Arabidopsis thaliana: one gene and its partners. The protein of the gene in region 3 interacts with the protein of the main gene of each other region in a pairwise test. Each region holds a gene or a part of one and is shown on either strand. Other genes may lie near its edges.

Evidence for each region. The genes of interacting proteins can lie anywhere in the genome.
Region 1: the proteins of GI (region 3) and KNAT1 interact in binary tests that used the Arabidopsis thaliana proteins (3 or more experiments, as listed by UniProt).
Region 2: the proteins of GI (region 3) and CDF1 interact in binary tests that used the Arabidopsis thaliana proteins (3 or more experiments, as listed by UniProt).

The regions. Positions count from the first base shown.
Region 1 is NC_003075.7:5,147,184-5,153,019, forward strand, and holds KNAT1 (homeobox knotted-like protein), read right to left. Parts: upstream 3,977-5,836; 5' UTR 3,428-3,976; coding exon 2,960-3,427; intron 2,849-2,959; coding exon 2,723-2,848; intron 2,619-2,722; coding exon 2,480-2,618; intron 1,933-2,479; coding exon 1,676-1,932; intron 993-1,675; coding exon 786-992; 3' UTR 516-785; downstream 1-515. UniProt on the Arabidopsis thaliana protein: May play a role in meristem function, and may be involved in maintaining cells in an undifferentiated, meristematic state, and its expression disappears at the same time the shoot apex undergoes the transition from vegetative to reproductive development.
Region 2 is NC_003076.8:25,068,578-25,072,818, forward strand, and holds CDF1 (cycling DOF factor 1), read right to left. Parts: upstream 2,535-4,241; 5' UTR 2,211-2,534; coding exon 2,118-2,210; intron 1,525-2,117; coding exon 721-1,524; 3' UTR 516-720; downstream 1-515. Other genes in the region: AT5G62440 (EMB514 (DUF3223)), read right to left, coding at 4,043-4,241. UniProt on the Arabidopsis thaliana protein: Transcription factor that binds specifically to a 5'-AA[AG]G-3' consensus core sequence. A flanking TGT sequence contributes to the specificity of binding. Regulates a photoperiodic flowering response. Transcriptional repressor of 'CONSTANS' expression.
Region 3 is NC_003070.9:8,060,061-8,067,763, reverse strand, and holds the start of GI (gigantea protein (GI)), read right to left. Parts: upstream 6,014-7,703; 5' UTR 5,783-6,013; intron 5,574-5,782; 5' UTR 5,367-5,573; coding exon 5,202-5,366; intron 5,122-5,201; coding exon 5,067-5,121; intron 4,989-5,066; coding exon 4,846-4,988; intron 4,762-4,845; coding exon 4,490-4,761; intron 4,344-4,489; coding exon 4,288-4,343; intron 4,119-4,287; coding exon 3,881-4,118; intron 3,755-3,880; coding exon 3,604-3,754; intron 3,478-3,603; coding exon 3,268-3,477; intron 3,168-3,267; coding exon 1,635-3,167; intron 1,523-1,634; coding exon 1,454-1,522; intron 1,153-1,453; coding exon 934-1,152; intron 842-933; coding exon 749-841; intron 635-748; coding exon 317-634; 3' UTR 1-316. UniProt on the Arabidopsis thaliana protein: Involved in regulation of circadian rhythm and photoperiodic flowering. May play a role in maintenance of circadian amplitude and period length. Is involved in phytochrome B signaling. Stabilizes ADO3 and the circadian photoreceptor ADO1/ZTL.

The DNA.
Region 1 (5,836 bases), on a different chromosome or scaffold from region 3:
CGGCTCGCTGGTCTTTGACCCTTCTTGAATCATCATTAGTCTTCTTAGAATTAATTTGCTGGTGAATAATTAACCCTAGGCCTTGTGCTTGATTGAGACTCCAATTGGGCAAGAGTCCTCCAAAATGCTCTTCATCAATCGGTTTGATAAATGTACCGGCTGATTTGGTATGGTCCCGGTTTGGTTTAATTTGGATGTCCGCATCAGATGACGAGTGGGTGCAAAGGGAGAATCTTTAACTTAATCTTTCGACAATAGTTTTTTTTTTTCTGGTAGTGATTCCATGACCTATGTATTATGATGTAATGCTTTCGCATAAGTCATAATATATGCCTGAAACCGTGTTCGAAGCAAAGATGGTTTTGAGACTTATCAACTATCGATGTTTTACATTTTGTGGATTTTGTTTTAGCTTGTGGAAAGGCATGTAAGAATCCATTAGATCAATTTGGGTTTTGTCTTTCAAAACCATACATTTCATGCCATATAAAATAAAAAAATGGAGCAACACCTTTTCAGAATAGCATTTTCCTTTCACACATTATTAAATAAAAACATTAGTGAGAAAACAAAAAAACAAAATACACCGAAAAAAAGAGAAAATAAAATGAAGGGATATTTCTGACTAGGAAGTCTCAAACTCCCCGAACGACATAAGACATTACAAAAGGCGTGAAAACAAAGAAAGCTATAAGTAGCAAACTGATGTAGGGGAATTCAAAACATGAGTTGTAACAAGAAAGCAACGAGAGGTTGTTATTATGTGGCTAAAGCTTTTGGATGTCTTATGGACCGAGACGATAAGGTCCATCACCCATGTAATGACCATCCATGTACAGAGCTGCGTGGTGCGGGTGCTGCAGACCATCCATCACCATGAACTGCATGTCTTCAGATGGTTTCCAGTGACGCTTTCTTTGGTTTATGAACCAATTGTTGATTTGTTTCTGATCTAACCCCGTTGATTCCGCCAACGCTACCTTCTCTGACTCCTGCCACACAACTCAAACCAACCATCTTCATTTATGTAGTAATCAATGTATAAAAAGCAATGCTAGAGATAATCGAAAATTATTTTTAAATGATTCTAGACATAAAAATGGAAAATGACCTAAAGTTTGTTGTTTTGAACGATTCTCTAAGTAAAATGACTAACTTCATTTTTCTTTGACATCAAGTAACGACTAACTATATGTTGTCTTATTATCTTTTTAACAACATGTCATTTATATTTACCAATATTAAACATGTTTTTTTCACTATCATTACAGTCGGTTAGATTAGTTATTTCATTTCAAACTAATTAAAACTACAAAAAAAATTAAATTGTTTCAAAATATATGGATAAAAATTTCATCACAAACTTACATTTTTTAAAAAAAAGTGATTGATATACGTGTTAGAAAATAGTATGTTAAGGGTTAGAACACCATGACTAAGATATGTATCCTAGTGACTAATTCTAGTGTTGTGAGCATTCGGATTTAAAACCATGTTGTTGGAAACCGTACAAGGATTTAAACACAAAATCGGTCATGCAAGTACCTACTTGGCCTAACATAGCGGCTTCAGAGGGAATTGCTAGCTTAAAGATAGGTTTTTAAAACACTTAATTTGTAGTATATATTTTAAAAAATATGAGGGCAAAGAGAGATGAGAGAAAATTTATACGTACAGAAGGATATGGCCACTTGTAATGCAACTCCCACCACGTGAGAAGCTTCTGCCGTGCTTCTTTAGGAAGTTTACCTTTCTTTTTCTTCTTGGATAGTTCTTGCTTCAAACTGCTTAAGTATCCACTATACTTCTTCAGCAAATGGTTCTTGAGTTCCCGATCTTCGGCCCTCGGGTCTATTTCCGGTAATTCTGTTTCCCCTCCGCTGTTATTCTCTTGTTCTTCGTCTGATGATCCCATATTGTCACTCTTCCCATCTGCTTCAACATAATATATTTCATGAAGTTAAATGGTTTAGTCATTTAACAACATTCTAGTCATCTACCTTTATGATTAGACTAATTAATCCGAGTAGAGATTTTGATGTTTTAGCATAACGAAATCGAAGAAGATAATGTCCCAAATAAATCTTCACGAGCAGCACCAAAAGTTCTTGTGATAGTACTTTTGGGCCGAGTGAAAAGAAAAAAAACAAAAATAAGCCCCACCCATCTTTGGATGGATTCCACAATGGGGAAAACAAGAACAAATATGCACACCTATTTGTATCTTACATACTTTCCAACAATAATGCATCTCAATTATCTTAATTATCTTATAATCTTAATTAACATTTGAAAATGTATGTAGACTATGATTTTTTTTTTTTTTAATATCTCAATGTTACAACAATTTACCATGAACCAAAGAAACATGCCAATTTATGCAATCCATCATTAGCCCTACCTTGCCACTACACTTTGTTTTCTCCAGCCATTTCTTACATGTGCATATATGTATGTATATGAGATTGATGACATGTACCAGGATTGTTGAGGATGTGAATGGGACTCTGACACAACATGCTAAGCTGAGATTCAATACGACGTATAAACTCCATTGCTTCCTGAATGGGCCTTGTTAGCTCCTCACGATATTTAACCAACATGTCACAGTATGCTTCCTATTCATACCAAAAAATAAAAAAGGAAAATCAAGACTTCTAACACATATACACACAAAGAACCGACCCATTTAATTAAAATTCAACTTTGGTTAGTAATGAACCATGAATTGATCTAACTCCGGGTCTCTAGAGGAGGCAGAGACAGACGGTGTTGACCGCTGTTGTCGAGCCTCAAAGTCTTGCCGTGCCGCCGTAATTCTATCAACCACATCAGGTGGAGCTCCAATCTATATAAACCATGACCCATGAACATACATATATATGTCACACATAACTATATATTATATCTTTAAAAAAAGAGTATATATTATAACATAACAATAAGAATAAAACCAAACCTTTTGGCAGTCCAAGTAAGCTTGTAGGAGGGTAGAGTAGTGAGGATGAGCAATGATTTTAGCCTTCATGGCTTCAACATCGCTTACGTTGTCATTGTTGTTGTTGTTAGCTTCTTGAGTATTGTGGATGGCTCTCATTAACATGGAGTAATGATTGATTCTTGAGGAGCTAGCTTCAGATTTAACAGATGGGTTGTTGTTGTTGTTGGGTTGATCATGATCAGATCGGAAGCAATTCTCGGTTGTTTGAGGGAGAAGAGAGCTCATATGTGGAAACAACATGTGTTGGTGGTGATGATTGTTGTTGTTAGTATTATTGTAACCAGGACCATAATTGCTACTATTATTATTGTTGTTGTTGTTGTTGGTATCACTTGTGTTATCGTTTTTGTTGGAAGAAGAGATTGGAGAGTACAAGAAACTTACTCTTTGAGGAGTGGTGCTGTTGTCATGCTGGTATTCTTCCATACCCAGATGAGTAAAGATTTGAGAGAGAGAGAGAATATAAAAATCAAAGAAAAAAAATAAATTAAAAAAAAATAAAACCCTAGAAAAATAAAAAAGGATGGGTGTAAGATGAAGAGGATGTATGTATTCTTGCTTTTGTTCTTATTTCAATCAAAGGTCTCTGTAAGACTATAACCACATCAAATCCAGACGACTAGACGACTCATCTATGAAATCAAAAAGGCCTAACTCAAATTAATATAAAAAAAGAGAGAAAATTTTGTGAGGTGAAGTTGCACCCAAAGAAAAACCAAATAAATTGAAAAAGATATATTTGAGGAAGAAAAAACGAACTAGGTATATAGAATTCGTCAAGGAAGTGACATGGAAGAGAAGAAAATAAAAAAAAAAAAAAGAGAAAGAGAGAAGAAGAGAGAAAGAGAGAGAGAGAGAGATTAACAATAATGAAGAAGTTGGGTGGCTTGAGTGGATTGACAAGACGTCGTTTGCTTTGGGAGCAAAAAGAAATATTTGAAAATTAAAATAAAGGTAAGAGAGAAGGGACAAGAGATAAGGCAAAGGCTTCTCTCTTCTGTTTTCCTCTCATAGGCTATTTTATACATTAGAACAAGACTAAGTAATTTACTTAATTAAAATGTGGTTTATAATATTCGAATTAAGATGAACCACTCAGTGTTTAAGCAACTAGGTCTTCGCGGCTACTTCAGGCTATGGTTTCTTGCTAGGTTGAATGATATATTTTGTACTATTTTCTAGTAATGAAATGTTTTTTTTTCTTAAAAGAATAGTCAAGAAAAAAGTTTTAAAAAAAATATGTATGATTTATATATACTTCTAATACGATATAAACCCAAGAATTTGTAGTCTAGTGGTTGAACATAGAGTTCGTTCAACAAATTGTGATCATGTGTCACATTATAATTCTATACTTAGGAGAGGGGACTACGTTTATCTTGTTCTGGTCCTCGGTTTCACTGTACGGGTTTCTGCCTAAAACTTACGGATAACAAAAAAAGAATTATAAACAATATGATAGAAATGTACATATTTGATGCAAGACTTGGATGTTTTTGGAGTTTAATCAAATCGATGAAATTATAATTTTAGTTTTCGTAATTTCGTATGTATATTAGTGGAGAGATCACACTATCCGAATATTTGTTATCGGATAGAAGATTACATTAGAAACCGAGAAAAAAAAAAGGAATTATAAAAATGCTTTACAGGATAGTGGATATTATACGATATTCTGCTAATTTCCAACTATTGGCTCTATGATAAGACCATGCTGCAAACACACTTCTTTCAACACTTGTTCTGTTCCACGGTCAACATTCAATTTTCTATTTAATCTCGATTTATATTTCATGATTCATGAGACGTATAGAGTGCCTATGAATTCATTTTTATACAAAAAGAAACGAAAATCCTAGGGTTTTATTTATATATAAATCGTCAAATCCTAGGGCTCTAGATCAAAAAGTTGGCTCATCGATAGATTTTTTTTTTTGTTTACCTCATCACTGCACTAGACCGAAACTTACATTGTGACTTGTGAGAGTTTGTAAACAACAAAATGTAAGATTTCTTACAAATTATGACTTGCTATGCCGGAAATTTTGATAGTAAATATTTAAATATATATGTATACATATATTATTTCTTACTATTAAAAAAATAAAATCAGCTGCTTAGAACCAATATTATTAGAATTTCATTAAAAAAAATCGAAAATGTTAAAGGTTAAATTTTTGCATTCGAAATGTTTTCTTTTCCTTTAAGACCTCCTCTTATTTTCTGTTTCAGTATAAGATGCTGAAACATTGACATCATAAAAGATCATTCATTAAGGGTACATCTTTGAATTAAATATCATAATATTCCAAAACACAAGTGCAATAGACTAAAAACACACTATAAATAAGTCTCTGATCCCAATATTCTCATTAATATGGTCATGCAAGAAGAATATATATATATATATATATATATATATATATAAATAAAAATATTATAATACCCATAACCATATGGATCTAATTTCTTATAATTTTCTATTAAAAAAAAAATTGTTTTCAAAAGTGTGTACAATTTCATAGAATTCTATCTTTTAGATTAGAAAGTCAATTATAACAATAAAATAAAACATTCAATTTATTATATAAAAATTCACCGGTAGGCATAGATTGTTCTCTAAATTTATTAATAAACTCATTTACTCATAACTATGTAACGACTTGTATGAGGTTATCTAAACCTGCAATAAAACACTCAAGAGATACACTAATTAAACTAATCTCTAAATACAACATAGCTACTTATCAATCATTTTCAATCAATGGTCAAATGTTAAGAAAATAAAAGGAGATGATAAGCTAATCAAATCTAGAAATAAAGTACATATTTGCA
Region 2 (4,241 bases), on a different chromosome or scaffold from region 3:
GTTTGATACGGTTGGTCAACAAATTATCCAAGAACTAAATTTTTTAATCAATCTAGGATATTTATTATCCAAAAATACTATGTACTTTACCAAAAAAACATTACACGAAAATGATCTAAAATACAACACTCCATTAAAAGGGGCTAAGTTGCAAAGAAAGTCAAAATAAAAGTAAATAGATTAACTAACGATAATTTAAAAACTCTGCAAAACTTGATTAAATCTAATTTCATTATAGTTTATTTTATTTGTTGCTGTTTGCTTTGTTTTCCATATTCAACATTATTATGTTTTGTGCTGTTTTATCGTGCCCACCCGCACCAGCACACATGACACAACTGTTAGTTATCGCACAAAAGAGGTCAAATTCAAGAAATCTTTTTACATTATCTTATCTTACTTTACTTATCCACTCGTGTTTAAAGTAAATCAGATGTCTATCTCAAATCTCACAACAGTTTTTTTATATTTTTACTGTTAGCTTTTAACAGCGTATTTAATTTGAATGCAAGATAACGGTCAAAAAGAACTTTTATTTCATCGTATTTAATCTTACAACAAAAATCAAACTTAAAAGACTAAAAAGTATATGGTACAAAAGCTATTATAAAGCTTCATGTAAGCCACAACGAAAGAACAAAAAAGTCAGATTTTGATGGATCTAACTTAATCTTCCACCACATCTATACATACATACACGTATATATCATATGTATACAATCACATCTGCTCATGGAAATTGATTGATCTTGATAACGCAGCAGGGTTTGCACAAAGAACAAGTGAGGTCTCTGTTTCTTCTTTGTTACTGAGCTTAACCTCTTTCTTCGAACCAAACCCATTGAACATAACTTCGTTCTTGATCCCAAGTGTTGTCCATATCGAACTCTTTGCAGCTTCATTAGGATCATCAATTCTCAAAGTCTTTGGAACCAATACAGATCCATTCCTCTGTTTTTGCTTCACCGTCTCGTCTTCGTCTCTCGAATGCTTACCAAGAGTAGAAGTAGGACTTGAACTTACCGGAGAAGACAACACTGGCATGCTCCAATAAGGGTAAACCGGGTAAAACGCAGGATTCCACGTGTACGGCCACGAAACTCCCGGAAAACAATTCAAACCGTTCGAAGTGTTGTTATTAGAGCGCTCGTCATTGTTCTCTATCCTAGCAACTAGCTTTTGATTACCAAACCTATTACTCGAGACCTTTTGATCATCTCCGAGGCTGAAACTAAGGACCGGACCATTTGTTTCGGAGATAGTCACATGGTGGTAATGTGAAGTTGGTGAGTTGTTCTTGTTCTTGCGCCGTCCTGCTCCGATTGGAACACTTCTCATGGTCCCACCTGAGGTCCAATATCTCTGACAAGCTTTACAAAAATGGCGAGGTTGGTTTACGTTGTAGTTGTTGTAGTAACAGAACTTAGTCTCCATGCTGTTGCATCTTGGACATGGAAGAATCTTGGTTGGTTTCTTTAGGGTTTTGTCTTTCTCCGATTGATCAGTTAATGTCTTGTTTTGGTTCTGATGCAAGACAATGAAATCGGATTATTAGGGACGGATGATGAATAAAGAAAGAATAACATTTTTGAAGCATGTTAAACAGAAATGAATTTAAAACTTTGTATTATAATGAGTATGATTCTCAAGAAGAAGGTTCTAGATGAAATTTTGGTGGAGGAAAAAGTCTTTTAAAGAACACGCTTTAGTTAGAAGTCTAAATTCGCTCACCTTTATTGGTTTCAGTGTGTATACTATAAAGCAACCTTTTTCACTAAAAAATATGATTACTTTATGGAGAAACGAATATGCTTTTTCGTTTCATGAAAAGTCATCAAACCAAATTGCAACCTCTGGTTCACCAACAGAGAACTAGAGTTTTAATTAAACAGATGGTTTAAGTGTATTTTCTTAGGAATTCTCCAAAAAGTTTACCAATTCATCAACTATGAATATAAAACGATACCAAAAAAAGAAAACAGTTGCCTTTGATGGGAAAATGAACAAAAACTCAAATACCCTTTTCAAAACACCAAAACTCATTTTCTCTATACTTGTATATAACAAAACATACTCAGCCCTTTCAGAAACAAAAAAGTAGACATAATAATGAGTACCTTTTCTTCTTCTTCATCAGCAACCTCTAAAACCGTCGGGAAAGGAATTTTCATACCAAAGAGCTTTATCGCAGGATCTTTAGTTTCCAGCATTATTATCGTTTTCCTAAGATGTGCTCTTTTTTACTCGTAAGTTTCTGACTCTCTGTGTCTCTTTTCCTTTCTTTTCAGGGTGTTTTTTTTTGTTTCTCTTCGAAGATGTTTTGTGGGGGGTTTGGGTAGTTTGGAAATTTTTGGTTTGGAAATCGTGAGATTTGGGATTTTGATACGTTTTAAAAAGTGAAGTGGATGCCAGGTCAGCATTTTGGTTTGATTCTAGACCACAAGTTTATGTGGCCTCTGATATTTTACTTTTCTCCCAAACCCCATTAAAACCCATAGCATATAATCTTTTGTTATTTTCTTTAAACTTTGTCAAAACTATTCGAAGAATCGATTTTTTTATATGTTTTAGATTTTCACTAAACTTTCCGTTAACCAAACAGATCAAAAAGGTCTTATGTAGTTATATACATGGAACAAATGCATAACAAGTTTGAACGATAAAAAACGAAGTGCTCCTACGAGGATGCAATAAAGTTTTCAGAAAAAGTGTTTTTATAAACACGCTTCGTTATATATAATACTGATATAAGATTTCTAACATATCTTAACAATTATCTATCTATTGTTGAATTGAAGAAAAAAAAACAATTATGTAAACTGTTTAGAAACTTTTGGGTAGGTAAATGTCAGCATCGCGGGGATGGCTTTGGTGCAGCTCACACGAGAGCTGTCTTGTTACGTGCAATTTCTTAATTGGTTGGTAGAAGGATAAAAATCCTTCATTTGAAAACGATCTACACTTTTTGGTTTGGAGAAACATATACCCTTCTTTTATACACAAAGATTAATCACAACCATTAATAGAAAATCAATTATAAAAAAAAAAACAAAAAAAAAACTTCACAACCATATAACATCCATTGACGAATTTCATTAAGTGAACGGTTGTACGTTAAGATAAGAAGACTGCAGAAGAAGGTAATAGATATGAGGTGCTCTCTCATTGGCTATTACCAAAAAGGTCTCTGCCACATTTTATGATTTACCAAACTCTGCCTTTTTTCCATGTCAACTTCTACTGTAGGTCCCTTACTCACCTGCATCTTGGTCAGATCATAGATTTCACAAACTGATTGTGTTGCAGTAAGATCGTAGTTAAGAAGCTTCCTAAATCTAAGAAGGCTTAACAAAACAAAATTTGTTGCATCTTCAAAAGACAATTTGTGTATGTGTCTATTTGTATATTGTGTAAGAAGACAATTTGGAATATTAATCCGAATACCGAATATCGGATAATGTTTCTTTATAATTCATAATGTGTTTCAAAATAATCCATTATTCCAAGACGTGTGCCAACCAGTGTTATCACTTCATGTAATCATTTTTTAGCAGGGTTAAGATTTAAGACAGCTTTAGTTTGAGGGCATTGTCTTTCTCTTAGAAGGGTCGTAAACGGTGAACATGTCACACACAGTAAGTTACCAAAGTCAAAATGTCGGTTTTTCATAACTTCCCCAATTCTTTTTATTTAACATTATCATTTAGCAACCAGATCAACACTACACTATCAATGGAAAGTGTTTTTTTTTCATCTAGATTTTGATTTGAGTTTTTCGTTTTTGAATTATTGGTTTTTAAAAACTAGATCAACCAGATTTTTAGTTCTATTGACGCGTCTGTGTTTTTTTCTGATGTTGTCAAGATAGTAGGGACAATATTCTTCTTCTTCAGCAATAATGGGTTATATAAACTGACAATTTTTCTCCAACAAAAAGCAGTTGCATTAGACAAGATCATAACTTTTAAAGTTTTTGGCAAAAGAACTAAATCTGAAATTTTCAAAATTTTCTTTTGAAATAAGGCATCAAGTGTCAGCATATTCATCTTCTGAATCTCCCTCCTCTACCACCACCACGACCGCCTCTTCTTCCACCACCGCCACCGCGACCTCCACCATGTCCATTGCCGTTAGCTCCAGGAGTCTTCATGTTTTCAGGCAATGGGAGGATTTGATCAACACACTTCCTGAAGCTGAAATCGTCTGCAGTATCGTCTTCCCTAACCAGAAAGAAGCATCTG
Region 3 (7,703 bases):
TTTAAGAGTATTCGGAAATAAGTAAATTTGTAAATTTTTCACTTCTATACATTACGATTTAGAATCCACTGAAGACTAAACACCAGACGCACAAAAAAAAAGATTGAGCTACTTCGTCATTTAAAATGTACAGAGAAGAGGTTGAGTTATATAAGACACCGAGCGAGAGCAAATCCAACGCCGGTGGGAGTGATTGCGTCAGTCACTCATCATTACAACATTACATACAACAAACTATATATATATTCTTCTTGGTCTACGTCCAAATGTTTTGTCTAGAGAACTAAAATTTACCAAAAACAAAAGTGGGTGCTCGTTATTGGGACAAGGATATAGTACAGCCGAGTTCCCGAGCCGCAGTGTCGAGAAACTGAGTAGGCATAGTTGTGGAGAGCAAGCTGTGAGCTTCCCAGTTTAAACAGTTTTGGATATCGGCTTTCCAGTCTATTGAGGCGGCGTTGAAGAATCGATAGGACGGACTATTCATTCCGTTCTTCTCTGTTGTTGGCAGTTTTGGAGTTACTTTGATGGGTATGGAGCTTTGGTTCATGATATCACGTAGTACTGACGTGCTTAAGGCACGTACGTGTGCACTTGGGTGTGAAAGGCACCGTATTGTTGCTGGTAGACGACACTGCATAGAAGCAAAAAGATGTGAACAAGGTTAAGCACTTTGGTAACTGGACCTACTACTGATCATCTACAATCGACGCAGGAAACCATAGGCTCTGTTCGATTCTGCTTTTACCTTCAATAGATTGGATAAACCGTCGACCACTGCTAGTCCAGATGGCCCCCAAGCTAGCACCGGCTGTATTGCTCTTGCCGTGGCTTCAAGTAGCTGCAAAAGTTTAAAATACAGTGGAATCAGAAAATGATTATTACTCTAGCCCGAAGAAGGGCATTGAAGAGCAATCTATAACAGTGCAGTACCTCAAGTTGAGGTAATGTACAAGCTTCTCCATCAACAAGCATTCCATCAGTTGCCCGCAGAAGAAGATCTGATGCACTTGCGAGAATCACCAGTGACTCAGGCCTGTCATGATTGCGCATGAGTTCCACCAACACTTTGACTATCCGTTGGTTGATTTTCCACATTTTTTGGCCTTCTTCATCATCTTTGGCGATCCAAGGCTGCAACTCCCTTTCAGCCTGTAAATAACACAAGACCATTTCAGACAATAGAGCATTAGAGTAAATCCTTCAACATATGAGCTTGAAACAAGCCATTATTTTACACAGATTTTTTCTTCCTTATTTCCTATCCTTGGCATATTAAAACAAGTGTTGCATATAAATTCCAAGCTTAATTTTTATAAATTCATGAGAGATCAAATGAGTGAACCAAGCATTATAAAACATTAACACAGGCCATAGGTTTTCCGCAGTTTAATCTTTACACAGGTGTTGCATTCCTGACAAATGAAATAAAAAGTCAAAGAGTAATTTGGACCTGAAGGACAACTGCTGCTGCTGCTTTCGCTGGCGTTGCAGATACGACATTGCATAGCGCATCAACAACCTGATATATAAAAAATATGATCAGTGTATGAAGTCGAGCGACTTAATTGGATTAGTAAAGAACTACCAAGGAAACTGTAAGCGAGCTGGGAAATAGAAGTGCTGAGGTTTACCTGTCTCCATCCTTGTTGCGCAGAGGTGCTTTCTGCGGTGGGCTGGATTTCAGGAGCAGCAATCAGTTTGTGCCATAACAGTGAAACAACGGAGAAAGACAGCTCCGGTTTCTCTGCAAGCACTGACCTCAAAAGCTTTTGTGTACCACAATAGAACCCTGCGAGTCTATCAGCTGTGAGGAAATTCGCAAGATCAGAAGCATCCAAGAGGAAATCTTTGATACCCTTCTCTGAGGGTCTCCCTGAGCCTTCATCTGAATGTCTAGCATACTTATGGTTTCCTCTTGGATTCATTTCAGTCCTTGAGGCGGATGTCACCGCTGTATCAAAGCATGTGGTGCTTGCACATGTGTTCTCTTGTTTCCAGTTTAAACAGGTCACAGAATCCTTCTGAACCGGTGTATTCTTAAGGTAGGCTTCCAAGGGTTCAGCTTTGTCAACAATGGAGGCAACAACTTTGCTGTGAACATCTATGAGGTTATATAATGATGATGCTCTTTTATGAATTTCCTTATCCCACTTACATCTCATCAACCCAGACAATGCATGCGTCAAGGCCTTTGAACGTCTGAACAGTTCGGAAATATGAGCTGCAACCATGGCCGCAGCAACTATCTCACTAGAACTGTAACTCCATGGAGTCCCCACAGAAGATGGTTTTAATGAAAAGAGTGCCTCTAGGATTGCCAAAATTCGGCGCGTATGACTAATTGCCGAGTCAATCCCAGCTCCATACTCTTTAGATGACCCATTTATCTTTACAGGCTTTGTAATAGTTCCAGCCACGGCAGAATTGGAAAAGTTCCCCCCACCAGAGATCATAGGATACAGCTGAACCTCACAGGCAAGAGCACAAACAGCAGCAAGAACGTATGAATCAAATGCTGCCACAGGTCCCTGTCCCTTGACATTCCTACTTTTACGGTTAGCAGTTTGATTGTTAGATACAGGTTGATTCGCCTCAATATTTTCAGTAGTACTAGCATATTCACTTCTCGGTCTCTTGCTACCACTAGACTGTGCTTCATGGCTAACACATACAGTCAACACAACAAAAAGTAGGCGTGAAGCTAATTCCACACCAGCGCATGATTCTAAAAAGAGAGCATGGACCATAGCACGAAGCTCAGACATAGCAAGATTTTTGGTCGCTGATCTTGTGGTAAAACTCGATCTAGCTTTTCTGGTTAGTTCCCTGGAAGATTCAGGCGGAAAAGTTCTACTGAGTATTGTTTCCACAGTGGCAACAAATATTTTCATCAAGCATGCTTCCGAAGGACTCCCCCGTGGAAGATATTCAAGTACTTTGAGGAGTGGAATGTATAAATTCCATGACAAGATAGGAGGTTGCAGTGGGGTAGCAACTATGATTTCGGGAAGATCAACCGCCGAAGAATTTAAAGGGATCAAACCATAAGCAGCTTCCCATATAGTGCAAATTCTCCACTCAACTTCAGGACCATGAGCACAAAGCATTGAGGCAATTCCTTGGGCAGTGGCTTCAATGGTTGCTTCTGCTGCAGGAACTTCTATCTGTTGAGATGAAATGAGTCAGTTTCAATATAATTTTCTAGTAGAATGCCAATCGCATATCAGAGATGGAATAGCAGAAAAATATAAAGAGGAACCATGCCTGTTTTCTGTAATTTGAACTGTAGCCACCAATAGGCGCGTGCTGAATTTCTACTCCCTCAACTTGACTTAGCGGAGGAAAAAGCAGTGCCGGCTGTGAGAGTATGCGGAAAAGCAAAGCGGCTGCAGCATCAGCAGCAACACCTGCCCTCATAGACATAGCAATTCCTATAGCCCGCAAGAAGTGCAAATGCATCCAGTTCCTGGGTAGCTGCACCAAGAAAAAGAATGTGATCAAAGCTGATTTCTTTGATGACATACCAAAGCTGACTTTTTTTATAACAAGGGACACAATTAGCTTTCTGGAGGGTAATTAAGAGATTCATATTACGCTTACCCTTACACCAGATGCATAATCTTCAGCAGCTCGAAGGAGTTCCACAAGCTGTACAGCAGCATCAAGTGCATCTGGAGCCCACGACGGTGGTGCTTCTAAGAGTCCAAGAAGAAGTCTCTGCGTAGCACTTGGAGTTGCAATGGCATAGTATCTGACAGTATAACAGGAAAGTGAGAAAACAATTCTGATCTAGGGATTCGAGGAAGCACAACCTTAAAACTAGCAACAGACTACTACCAATAAACCCTAATTGAAAGGGTAAGCCCAGAAACAATACCTATGAAACAAACGTGCATATGGTTCAAGAGCTGGAAGGCCAGCAACTAGATGCTCATCTAAGGATGTCGTTGGCGGAGGAAGAAGAAGTGCAGGGACAGCGACCGCTGTCAGCGTAGCAGTCTCATATCGAGCAACTTCATCATCACAAACACTCAGTATGACACCAGCTCCATTAGCAACAGCCCATCTTGGGGTTGAAGGCATCAGTTGAGGATGTTTACCAGATCCTCGAGAAGCTGCCAAAGTAGGACAACATGAAAGTTATAGGAAGCAACTCAAAACACATTCTATAGCCACAGGTGATGGATACACATTTATGAACGAAGTGATAGAACAACTCTATTGATCAGAATTATCATCAAAATCCAGTTCCAGGGGATATTAACATGGAATTCTTGAACTCACCAATGGTTGGCGGCTTGAGCTCTCCAGCAGCATATTTACCCATTACACCACTACACCTGTAAATAATAAGCAACATTTTTAGTTGTCAGTAAGCTTAATCCACTACAGAACCTCAATACATAGACCTCAGCAGAGAGACCAAAATAAAAGAAGGAGGCCGGCGCATGAACACATAGAAGCATCAGTAACAGAGTCTACTTACCATCGGAAATAGTCACTTCTTATACCAAGAGGAGCAGCAAGTAGTATATCACTGATCCATGGAGACAAAGGCCTTAAAGGTTTCCTTTCATGCTGTGTTGGTGATCCAGCCTTAGGCTCTGAAGTCGGAGAACCACTAGTTGTAGCTTTGCTCAGACAATTTCTCTCTGTATCTCCATTTTGCTGCTCAGTTTTATAAATGGGACGGTTGTAATGAGTCAAAATGCGAAGGATTTCTCCACATGCCAAAGCCCATTGCTCCGAATAGTCATTCTGTTAGGATAGTGAACATGTTAGCACAAAATGGTATAGGTTACACCAAATCAGTAAGCATGATACTAGACAGCTATTATATACCTCACTACTTGGGCAAACTAAAGATATGAAAGAGGCAAACGGATGAGCTTCCTTGCTGTACACCAACGAGCCATCAATAAGACATGAAATGATTGGAAGAATGACTGCATGACCATGCTCCGGATGATGAAGGACAAACATCGCTGTTTCATCAGAAAACGAAAATCAGATAGACATTCACACACAAAAAGAGAAGTGTGGATCATAAATGTTGATCATACCCAGCACATCGTCTAAAAGTCGCTTCTCAGTTGATGGATACTGATGCCGGACCAACTGATACAGATAAATTATACATGAATCAAAACGTCACTACTAAGAGAATACTCTTATTAAACTCATTAGGTATCAAGTACCTCAGCAATGTCATCTGGGAATTGCTCTGATGTAAATTGACCAAAATATTCAACATAAGCAACGACTTGATCCTTATGTTGTTGAGGATCTCGTGGCGGAGGCCATAACAAGGAAGAGAACTGAAGACCATCGATCCATCTCTCAGATGAAGATGAACTAGCCATCCAGGAACCGAAACTAAACCCCAACTAGATGAACGAACAATCTAACTAACACCTTTCTTCTACTATCAATCGAGAATCAATACGACGTAGTGTTAACATTCGCCAGCAAGAACAATCACTATACACATCTCCCAGATTCTTTTAAATCCTTTTTATACTAATCAACACACTGTACACTAAATCGAAGCTGAATCAAACAGCTAAACCCTGTAACAACAATTCAGAAGAACAAAATCTCAATCAGATAAGATGTCAAATCAAACAACAAATCTAAGCTGAGAAAACAAAAAATGCTAGTAGAAACAGTGATTTACCAAGAACTTATTTAAAAAAAAAAGACATCAAATGATTCGGGAAAAAATCTCATCTGAGAATCAATCAACCAAAAACCACGAAAAAGGTAGTAGAAGAAAGACCTGAAAGTAAATATGTCTTCCTATGAGTTTGTTGGTTGGTTATCTCTACTCTTGCTTTTTTTTGGCTTTGAGGATATTTTTGAGAGATCGACGAATATCGGAGAAAAAAAGAATACATACACAGAAGAAGAGATTGTGGTGGCCTTAGGAGAGAGAGAGAGAAAAAAGAGATTTGGAGGCTTCTCCACTCGGTTTAAGATTTCCCGTCTGCTTACGTGTCATCGATATTTCCTTGCCTTTGCCACCACCTTTATGCGCCATTACCATATAACCATCATCATCCCACATACATCTCCACCCATACCATGGTTAAAAAATTTACCATATTTTTGTTACATTTTTTAAGCATATATATATGAAATTTTATTTTAAAAAATTTTACTGGTAGTTTATGTTAGTGTTGTTTTGGAATCACAATGCGAATTCAAATTCGTATATTGTATGTTACAATCACCAAGAAAAATGTTTGCCAATTTAAGTAATTAATTTTAATCCTAATAAATAAATTTTGTAAACTCAGATTTACTCCAAAATTCTGTCTATTTTTAACCATGAGCTAAGTTTAAAATCTACTTAAACATATAATTATATCAATAATATTTGGCTGTTTTAAAATAAACCATTACATTCACAGTATGGCATATATTGGTAAAGAATTTGTACAAGTAATCAGAGAGATTATTTTATTTCAAGGTTTGGTGGTCATGATTGTATTATTGAGTTATTAATTTAAGTATATAACATCTCTCATGTGATTGCCTAATTAATTAATAGTTTCATTACACAAAAAAAAAGCTAGTGACATATGTCCACAGATATTTTGAGGGGAGCTAAGTTCAGATGCTACGAGATGTTACGTACACCTTCGAATTATCCACCGTTGATTCAAGCCCACTCAACAAATTCCTTTAAGAGATTTCGGGCAGCTAGCCCAGAATAGTTTCGAGCCGTTCGATGGTTGTAGATAAACGGGCAGCTTTTGAGGAACAGCCCGTTGAGAAAATATCTAAATGGGCCTCACACATCTTTTAAGATATTTTAAAATCTTACCACTTGTCTCTACTGTACCACATAAACAAGTAGCACAATAAAATGATGACGTGTACCAATCAGAGTGGAGCAAGAGATCTGTGGACGTTGATCACTCGCCAAATAAGAGACGTGGCGCAATAAGATGTGAGCAATATATTGTAATGATCTCCATACGATTCGTGATTGTGTGGTCCACTTCTGTCTGGATGGCTCTTGTCTGAAGAATACTCCATGGTAACATAACTGGGCTTTGGTCATGTACCATGTGATGTGATGGGCTCAAACCTTACGTGGAGTTATGTAACTGGGCTAAATTGTAATTTTAATTTTTCAGTAATTGCTTGTAATACAAATATATTTTTTGATATCAAATTGTAATTTTGAGGAGAACTTACTATTATTAATGAAGATGATAAAATGTTACATTAATGTATCATTCTAATCATAGTAAATATATTAAGAATTACCTCAATTTTTTGGTTTATGATTTACCAATTAGGGAAAACATTAATTTTAATAAAAGCTACTTTGCCTACCTCTTTTTTTTTTGTTAATATATCATTTTAATAACAAGCTTTTATTAAAGTAATATTATGGTGGAGAAATTTTTATAAAATTCTAAAACTTTTTGAAAAGGCGTATTCTCAAATTGTAGGCATTTCAGTTGATATATTATAAGTTTAAGTTATAGTCCAACGAATTATTTCTTTTGTGGTTTAGCAAACGAGATGTTCATCATTACCCATTTCATTGTCAACAAAACCTTTAGAAAATGATATTAGTTATCTTCAAGTATGACTATTATAAATTTATACAGTACAATATACTTTTTTCACAGAAGGACCGTGACATCAATCAATTTAGTATAAGAAAAATCAAATGGAAAAAA